Oryzias latipes: one gene and its partner. The protein of the gene in region 2 purifies or fractionates together with the protein of the main gene of each other region. This does not show direct contact. Links are inferred from orthologs where the notes say so. Each region holds a gene or a part of one and is shown on either strand. Other genes may lie near its edges.

Evidence for each region. Proteins that work in one complex are often made in the same cells at the same time.
Region 1: the proteins of mkln1 (region 2) and zmynd19 purify together in Homo sapiens (affinity purification with mass spectrometry; 3 studies listed by BioGRID and IntAct, with this or other methods). This does not show direct contact. The link is inferred for Oryzias latipes from reciprocal best matches to the Homo sapiens genes MKLN1 and ZMYND19.

Annotation. Positions count from the first base shown.
Region 1 is NC_019870.2:12,308,743-12,313,658, reverse strand, and holds the start of zmynd19 (zinc finger MYND domain-containing protein 19), read right to left. Parts: upstream 3,174-4,916; 5' UTR 2,944-3,173; coding exon 2,893-2,943; intron 1-2,892. UniProt on the Homo sapiens protein: May be involved as a regulatory molecule in GPR24/MCH-R1 signaling.
Region 2 is NC_019881.2:8,970,494-8,974,915, forward strand, and holds part of mkln1 (muskelin), read right to left. Parts: intron 1,708-4,422; coding exon 1,486-1,707; intron 1,411-1,485; coding exon 1,281-1,410; intron 1-1,280. UniProt on the Homo sapiens protein: Component of the CTLH E3 ubiquitin-protein ligase complex that selectively accepts ubiquitin from UBE2H and mediates ubiquitination and subsequent proteasomal degradation of the transcription factor HBP1.

The DNA.
Region 1 (4,916 bases), on a different chromosome or scaffold from region 2:
TTACTTTTTAGTTACTTTAGTTACCTAATTAAATTAAATAATTGAAAAATTAAATACAATTAAATTACTGAGATCATTCAGCTAACTAGAAATACTTACTGCTTACAGTGTTGTAAAGAAAAACAAAATTAAGTAGTTTGACCTTATACTCCATTTGAGTCTGAGATTCAGGTATTTGGAGTTGCCTTTGATTCTTTGACATTCAGCTTAAAGCTTAGTGCATACAGTTTCATCTTCAATGCATTCATTAAATATCTTGCTGTCCATAGTACTAATTCCACCCGTCACTCCATCTAACATATTCCTATCTATTCCTGCCATGTCTTCCACATCTCTGACATGCTTCAGTCTCTCTTCAGTGACGGTGTTGGATTTATGATCATCGCGGTGAAAAACCACCAGGGGGCGCGCTGATATGTGTGTCAGTTTAAATATATCTGCCTAAAATGTAATAATAACCCACTGGCTTGTTCCTTCGTTGTTGCTGTTTAACATTGTTTAGTATTGAATTGTTACATTCAATAAAGTTTGAAAAAAAAATTGAGTGAGCGCGTGCCGCATGGTGCTCGGTAGTGACAGCCGCGCGCAGGCGGGAGAGGAGGAGAAGATAAAAGGTTTCCCATAGAAATCCTTGAAGTCTGAACACAGGACTAGCAGAAAAAGTAAATTATGAAGACGAGGTAAATCTACACGTTTTCGCAAAATATACTTTATTGAAAAAGGTGAAAAATGTATTAATTGTTAGATATTTTAGTGGCCCGAGCGGACAAGTAAAAAATAAAGTCTTGTGGTCCGTACTGCTCGAAAAACAGGACCGGGCCAGCGGACAAATGGCTATGTCGAGCCCTGATTTGAGGTAACCATTTATTGCGATTTTCGCCGTCTTTTGCGGTATGCATATTGCACACCTTGATTTCGCGATAACGATAAATTTGCGGTATATTGTGCAGGCCTAGTGACTGTCACTGTGGATTTAGTTTCAGAGATCACTCTGTGGGTCATATAGTTAATATGAACTACTATACATAGGCCAGATGCAGATGCTTCCATTTCTTTGCAATTATCAGCAAATATCAAGTAACTAGACCAGGGGACAGCAACCTTTAAAAGAGCTAATCACGTTGATTTCTCACCGACCACAACTCAGAAGGAGCTGTAGTCTTATTACGACAGTGGTTTGTGTTTATTATAGTATTGTCACTGTTATAAGAAATATAAATTATGGTTTATTCATTCCTAAAAACAAAATGAAATTAGATTTTTTTCCCAAATACGAATGAGTTTCTAACTTTTGACAGAGCTTCCTCTGACTTCCTTTCAAAATAAAAGACACACTGTGCCACATGGGATCATCCCACTGCAGAATATTTTGTACACGTTGTGTAATGTCAGTAGTGATTTAAAACACAACACAACATTGTTTTGTTGGTGCACCACAGCCACCGATTTGTAAACCTAACAAACTAAAATTAAACCAGAGCTAACTAAGTTACTTTACTCATAAGGTAAACTTAAAATCCTTAATTTTCTTCAAATCGACAGTGCTTCTTAGAACTGATTATCTCTGGCACATGGTGCTTAAAAGGCGACTTTGATAAACTACAAAACTGCATTGCTTTATGGCTTGCATTATGGGTATTGTAGTCAAAAACCTTGCAAAGTGATGTGTACTGTGCTTTAACTGCTCGTAAATGACTTTAATAAGATTTGACTTGTCTGACTGTTGTCATTCGTTCAATGTGGCTTTTAGTCCAAATAATAGATTACATTGTACATTTTAAAAACATTTTAAGTTTTCTTCAGAGCCACAATGGAAAGAAGCCTCCTGTTGCAGACCACTGAACTAGACAAATAAGTAGCACAGTTCAAAAACTAAGAGATTTTTCTAATACTGTTGTCTAAAAGTAAGCTAAGCAAGTTAGAAAAAAATGCATTTTAACAATAAAATAGTTATATAACCTGCTAATACACACCTCTGCATGTAATAGACACAATACTGCAGCCCTTAATAATTGCTAAATGAAATATTCAAATACGTAAGTCTCAGGCTGCAGTGAGCACAAGTCAAATGTGACAGATGAGTTATGGACCTTGAAGAGCTTCTTCTGTGTGTGTGTGTGCGCGCGCGCGCCCGCGTAAGGTGTCTCGCGCTGCTGGATGTCGTCATTCAGCAGGTGGGCAGCTAGATCCATCACAGCTCACACAAGTTCATCCACCTGTCCAGTTCATCCCGGGTGTCCTGTGACACCAGCAGCGTTTCCAGCCCTTCCTTCACGTCACATCCTCATGGAACAAATACTTGGGGTTGACATCATCCTTTTCTTTAAATAAATGACAAATCTCCGCCTCGCATTCATGCTGCACACCACAGTTCAGGCCGGCAAAAGTCAGTTGATAAGCGTGGCAACACTTCCTTCATTAGCCAACAGTTGAGTGTAATCCAGATCCAGCCGTTAGCGTGCTGCTAACCATCAGCGACTGATAATTTTGCGGCACTTCACCTTACAATTTGCACATTTTCAACACTACTGATAACAGCACCGATAGTACAAATTAAAAACACGAATCAATGTTTCAATATGCGTCACAACTGTTTTGAAATTAGAAACCGCTAATGTACCCTGCTACATGTAAGCTAGCGCTAGCTCTAATCGAGACTGATAGCGGCGGCATTCAGGAGCAGTCTGGCTCGACACGGCCGGCTTCTCTGCTCAAACGCGGCTAAAAAGATTAAGCTAAACGACGCCAGAGTCCACAATGGCCACATTGTTATTACAGCTGCAAACTAGGATCCACTAATGTCTGTAACGGTTTCTTCAGTCGTGTTTTTGTATTCCCCGAGGGCCCTCCCACGGCCGCACATGGCAGCCCTAGATCATAGATCCAACTCACCTTCCCGGCCACACGGCCGAGCCGTACGATCCCGAGCTTGAAATCCGACATGGGGAGAACGGTCTTGCAGTGACACCGGGAGGAAGTAGATCCAACTTAATCGGAACCGAGATGGACAGCTCGCCGAGGTAGCTCCCCAGCGATGCCACTTTGGGACTGAGCGAGTGGTAATTGACCTGTGTCCGGGTCTATCCGGCCGCAGCCCTGCCTCGGTGACACACCACCACCGCTGGCGCAGGAGAGCCGAGCGAGCTGCTGCGAGGGGGGCGGGACCGGGGAGAGGAACTAGTCAGGGGTGAATCAACCAATGAGATGCGAGTTTGGTGCCAGCAGCGAGTTCATTCAGACCAATAGAAAACGAGAACGTTCAAAGGCCGCCCATTTCAGATATGACGCCATTGAACTCTCGTGACCATGCACAGACATTTGCGCGCGAAATAAAGTGATAAGTAAGCAAATGGCATTGAAACTACTAGTGACCTGATAATCCTATTCTAATTGTACAAAACTAAGTCAGATAGTTTAAAGATGTCGGTTTGCCCTCAACTCAGCACATAGGTTTGCTTTTAGAAATTACAGGTTATTTTTGAGAGCCTTCAGAGATTAGATGACCCAATCTAATGAAAATGTTTTTTTGGTGTTTTTAACATGATGATGATGATGGTAAAATTGCCTTTTTAAGTATTTCTTCATTGTGGTGAAACAAGAGAGATCAAAAAACTAAGTTGTTTGTAAAAGCTTGTAGTTGTGATGTATCATCACATCTATAATCTACATTACAGGCAATAAGCTCCCTCCACTTCATTCCAATGCTGCAGACATAATCTTTGTACGTCTCGTCTGAGCTGGCATGTGGTTTAGAACTGTACGGTGGTTAGCTCCAACATAGCTCACCATCTTTGTCCCACCGCTAAAGTATGGTTGTAAGGGGCTGTAATGGGCTTGTGAGTGAGAATGTACACAGATGGATGATGGGAAATAAGCCAACGGTCCCGCCCACAACTCAGGCAAATTTCTCATGACCCTAAAACGCTACAAGTTTTTTCCATTTTGGCAAAGTGCTGGCAGTTTTGTCTGAAATTTGGATTAGATTAATGACTGAAGTCTATTCTATAAAAGTTTTATTAGTGAGAATGTCACAACACTAAGCACATTTAACATACCTGTACTATGGGTCTTGGACCAAAAGCTTTTTCTTTTATGCTACATATCTGAAAAGGAGCAGTGCCTTTTTCCTAATTCTGCACCAGAGAAAGAAAGAAAAAGAGTCTAATTAAGACAACATAGTATTTATACAAAAGCACAATTGCTTGAACTCTTCCAGTTTTAGAAAGGATAGGATTGTTATATTTGTGATGTAACAGTCATTAAAGTCAAACAAATTCCATCATGATTAACAAACATAATTCATGTGTTTTGTGGATGGGCATTGCAACATAATGCCACCATGTCCACACAAACCCGGCGTGGTGTGCATAGGCGGAGCAGTGGATGTGTGGCCTATTAACAAAACCTACTCTGCTGAGGACATGGATACTCTAGTGAGTGTAAGTAAACTAGCATCTTCAAAACACCTGTTTTTGCTCTATTATTTATTTAGCATTTTACACAAAAACTCAGTTTCATTTTCATTATTATAAAGTTTCTTTATGTTACTGTATTTGTCTAGCCTTGTTTGAATGTCTTCAATTGGGTTTAAACCAACTTATGATTCATCTGGAAATGTTTCTTCAATGTGAACCAGGCTTCCCCAATAACATTTAATCTATTGTATTTAAAAAATAATGCCTTATCTATTTTATACTCATTTATTTAAAAAAAAAAATAAGGGTTGTGCCATGAAAAATGCAAATTAATATGCTTCTTTTGGGGCACACAGCTTCCAGATTTTCACAATAAAACTACTTCCTTTTTTGTAATTCTGACCAGATCTGGTTCAACCAGCTTGTTTTATGTGTGCCTTGACTTCTAGTGTAGCAGCCACAGAAAATTCCTACAACTTAATATAAATTAACGGTAATCCA
Region 2 (4,422 bases):
CATCTCTGATTATTCCTCAAAAAACCTGCTCTCTGAGAACGAGCGGGTTACGAGCTGATGTAGGCCAGTGAGAACAGCCCCTTCCAGGAAGAGTCTGCGCTGCCAGTCCCGCCCCCAAGCTAACACACACAAACACACTTTCTCAGTGGAGCTAGCGGTGATCAGCTTAACGATTTCCTTTTATATTCACAATGTGCACATCCATCTTTGCAAAAGTTTGGATGTTGTTTGTTTTGGTGGGCGAAACGCAGACACACTGCCGAGGCAGACTGGGATATAGTATACTATAAAAGATTTACTGTAAGTCTTCTCAAATAGTGGGGCGCGCCCCCGGATGCGATGCCAGGGGGGGCGTGCAGTAGTAGCGGTTAACGGCTTATCCGTTATATCACAGAGTTTGTAACAGCCTGAAACTGTGAACTGCCGTCCCTGCAGCTGCCCCTTTCTCTGCATCAAAGGGGGGGGGGGGGGTAGTGGGCCCAGGCTGCGAGGTGGGACGTGCACGCGAGCAGCCTCTTTTGCGCGACACCTGGATCATCAATTATTGTAGACATTTCGATGATGTGTCTTTATTTTCCATCAATGTATTCTTTGTCTGCCTGTTGTTTAGTTGGTGTCACTATTTGACATAAAGACAGCAGGTTATGCAGGAAAACAGCTGCACTTTTGAGATCATAAATAAACTATCCATCATTTAGAAATAAATTCAGCGCAATGTTTTTACCTATTTCTTCAGACTAAAACCTTTAAATATATTGGTGCTGCTGTGTTAATGTTTCAGATCAAGTTACATTGAATATTATCTATTGATTGAATTATTTTTCGGTAGTAACCTCCAACAATGTTTTTCCATATCTCTTCGCTTTGAGGGCTAAATGTAGGGGTAGGTAGAAGCTGCAGGGAGGTAATTTAAATTTGCCCTTGTTCTCATCCTTTTATAAAACCTACAGACAGTTTTAAAATGCGCTAATTTCAACATAAATGACGCAAAGCTTTAAAAAATTCCAACTGTTTGCTGAATTTAATAAGGCTGTGTTGCTGTCAAAATAGTTCATCTATCTGATTTCAAATCACTTTCTTGAGATTTTCCTTGAAATATTTGTCTATTTGTCAAATTCCGACCTAGCTAAACCTATACTATAAATACCAATAAATTACAATGAAAACTAACATAAAGTAGTTTTTTTGCCAACTAGAAGAATAAAATAATGATTGATCATTTTCAGTTTTCTAAGTCATTATTTCTTAAGGCAGTGTTAGTAATAGGAGCTAGTTCTTACCCATGCCAGAGTCCTTCTTGGTGCCATCAGAAATGATCTCGACGTGGTCTCCGTCCACATCATAACTGAAGAAATCATTGAGGTAAGTCTTAGACCTCTGACCTCCAAAGACATAGAGGCAGCGGTTTCTCTGCAGTAAAAGATGATCCTAAATGAGTCTTTTGTGAAAATGTTCTGATACAAGGTCGATTCTGTGCAGACTTACAGTGTGGAAGAGCATGCAGTGTCCAATGCGAGACTGAATATCCTCTGGGCCAGCGTTGCAGGAGTCTTCCCTCAGCAGGCTCCACGACCCCACCTGGCACTGGAAGGCGTACAGGCCACTGAACTGTGGCTCTGACGTGCGGCTGTCCTCCACGCTGCCGTTACACGTGAGGATACGACCACCAAACGTATAGATCATGTGCTTCTCTGAGTCCATGCACATCTGCAGCAAGAGTAAACAAACTGTCAACAACTGTAGCAACAACATCCCAAATTGAAAGCTTTATAAACAGTTTTCCTTTGCCTGTTCTGGAAACTTCAGCAGAAGAAAAAAAACTCTGGAACTCAACACAGTAAGATGAAATTACACCTCAAAGCGAAGAGAAAATGCTGAGAAAATAACACTCCTGTCATAAAGTACTTCAGAATACTGTAGGAGTGTCTTCTGCTTTTTTCTGGCTGCCTAATCCGACCTTAATACTCTGGAGACACTAAAACTAGTGAATATGATAACAACGATTCTATTCTTATCATATTCTGCAATTGATGACACGATTCATAGTCGATTTAGTAGTCATAGTCGTTCTGAACAATGAACAATTGACTGACCTAAAATGGAAATAGGACATCTTTAGCCAAACGTCAACCAATGTGACTCAAAGAGAAATACCTGGGTACTAACAGTGCAGGGGAAATTTCCAGATTTCATGTATTTCTTATAAGATAATGAAGTGTAAACAAACAAACAAATAAACAAGAATGGATGTCAAATCCATCCACATTTTAGTTTCCTAAAGTTCAGCCCACTGTTGTTTTCCACATCCAAAGAGTGCAAAGGGAACATTATTAGAACATTCTAGCACACAGTCTGGTCACATGTTTTTGCTATATTCAAAGTGTTTCCACACATTGGACTGGATTGATGGACTGATCAGTTTTTGCTGCATGACGTGTGTGTTGTCCGCTGTGATGCAACGGTTGTATTTACCTTATATTCAAATAAACCTACTGTACCTCAATCCAAATGGTATTTTCCAATATCCATTTTTGATTCATCTAATTTCAAAGTCATTTTTTAATGGTTTAAGTCAATACCATTAACAACTTGCCTCAGACAGATCAGATCGACCTGGTTGGATCAGAGGAATTGAAATCAATTCCTCGATTAATTGGTTAGTTGTTGCACCTCTACTAAACAGTAATGCTCTTTTATTTTTTACAAACTATTTAGCATACAGATCCTATTCAACATAATGATGTAACAGCAACAGTAATATTGTCAATTGATGAGTAGGGCTGAGTATCACCAATAATTCCCAGAATCGATTTGATTCGCCAGAACCCGGATCGATTCATTTTTGATTGTTTCGATCCACAATTTGATTCAATTTTGAATTTAAATGGTTTACACATTTAGACATATTTTTATAGAAATACAATATTAATCTATATATGTTTTGAAGATATTCATATTAATCGAGGGGGACCTGGTCTCAAGTCCAAGATGGCAGCAGGTCCAGAATGGCGGCAAAACATCATTTGCTGGAATCTGAAATGCTACAAGTTTTCAAAATTGTAGCCCCGTTTATTAAAAACTATCATGTGACTTTATGGTTCAGAGTGCAACGTGAGATTAAAACAGGGCAAAAACGGTATTTGTTTTATTCCTTTCAAAAAGTGTATAAGTAAATGTGTTTAGATTTGTAAACCCACCGGAGCTTTAGCACCAGTGTTTACATTCCTTCACCGTAACTTTTTAACTTATCAACATTAAACAGTGTAACTGCGGAGGAAAGCGGCTTTGCGCCGGTATGTAACACTTTATAAGCAATTTGCAAAAATTCGCTTTGAATTGTTGCTTACAGATGCAAAGCTGATCAGCTGATTCACGTACGGAGTTACGTTCAGAGCAAAGCGGGCTTTGACAGAGACATCTACAGTGCTAAAGTTTTAACGCTTAAAGCTGGAAAAACAACAGTAAATCTTGGGGTCGCCAGTTAAATTATTATTATGATTTGGAACAAAAAAAGTAACAAAATAAAAGTATATTCCCACAGAAATTTGGGTTGGGGTGAACGTAGACCCCGGTTCCGGCTAATGATGTCTTCCCGCCATGTTGTCTGTAACCAGGTCGTCTTGTATTGATCTGATACAGTACATATACAGTAAATGTATTCGTGAAATAATAAACCAATTGATTGTTAACAACATGCAGCATTACATGGTTTCTCAAACGGAGAAGCTCCAACAAAAATGTGCAGATTGTAAAGAAACCTACGTTTTAGTATGGCCACTAGGTGGAGCTCTCGCTATAGCTTAATTCCAAAAGATTTGAGTAAAAAACGGTGCTCTACCCACAAATGGTTACGGTACTTTAAAAAAATGTTTCCTAAAAAAAAAAAGAGTTTGGAAAATTCATGCCTGTGATTATATAAAGCAGTTCATTTAGGTCAAAGGAGTGTTAGCATTAGCCGTCCTATGGGAAATTCCATTATACGTTAGCATCAAGCTAATAGATTTTGGCTTTACTGCGGTTATGCATTAGGTCACGGTAAAAGGAAACGCATAAAAGATCAATCTTTACGTTTATGGATTGATTATTAATTTATTAAGCTTGGATTGAATCCGATTGATTAATTGATTTCATCAACCCATGAGAAGCTTCCTGCCAACAGTCTTCTCAGCCACAGAAAAAAGCACAGATAAAGTGACTGGATTATTTTGGATGTTTTTCTAGTTTATAAGTGGATCCATGAAGCCACCTTTTCACACTCAGACTGTTAGGGGGACTAAAAAAAACGGTTTTGTCAGGAAATAAGAACATTTTCATGGCCAAGTCTTTTCTGATCTGGAATAAGATGTGAGTAACCACTGAGTAAAAGACGACTGATGTCATGATCAACTTTTTTTTACCTAAGCCAAAGCTCTAAATAAATTG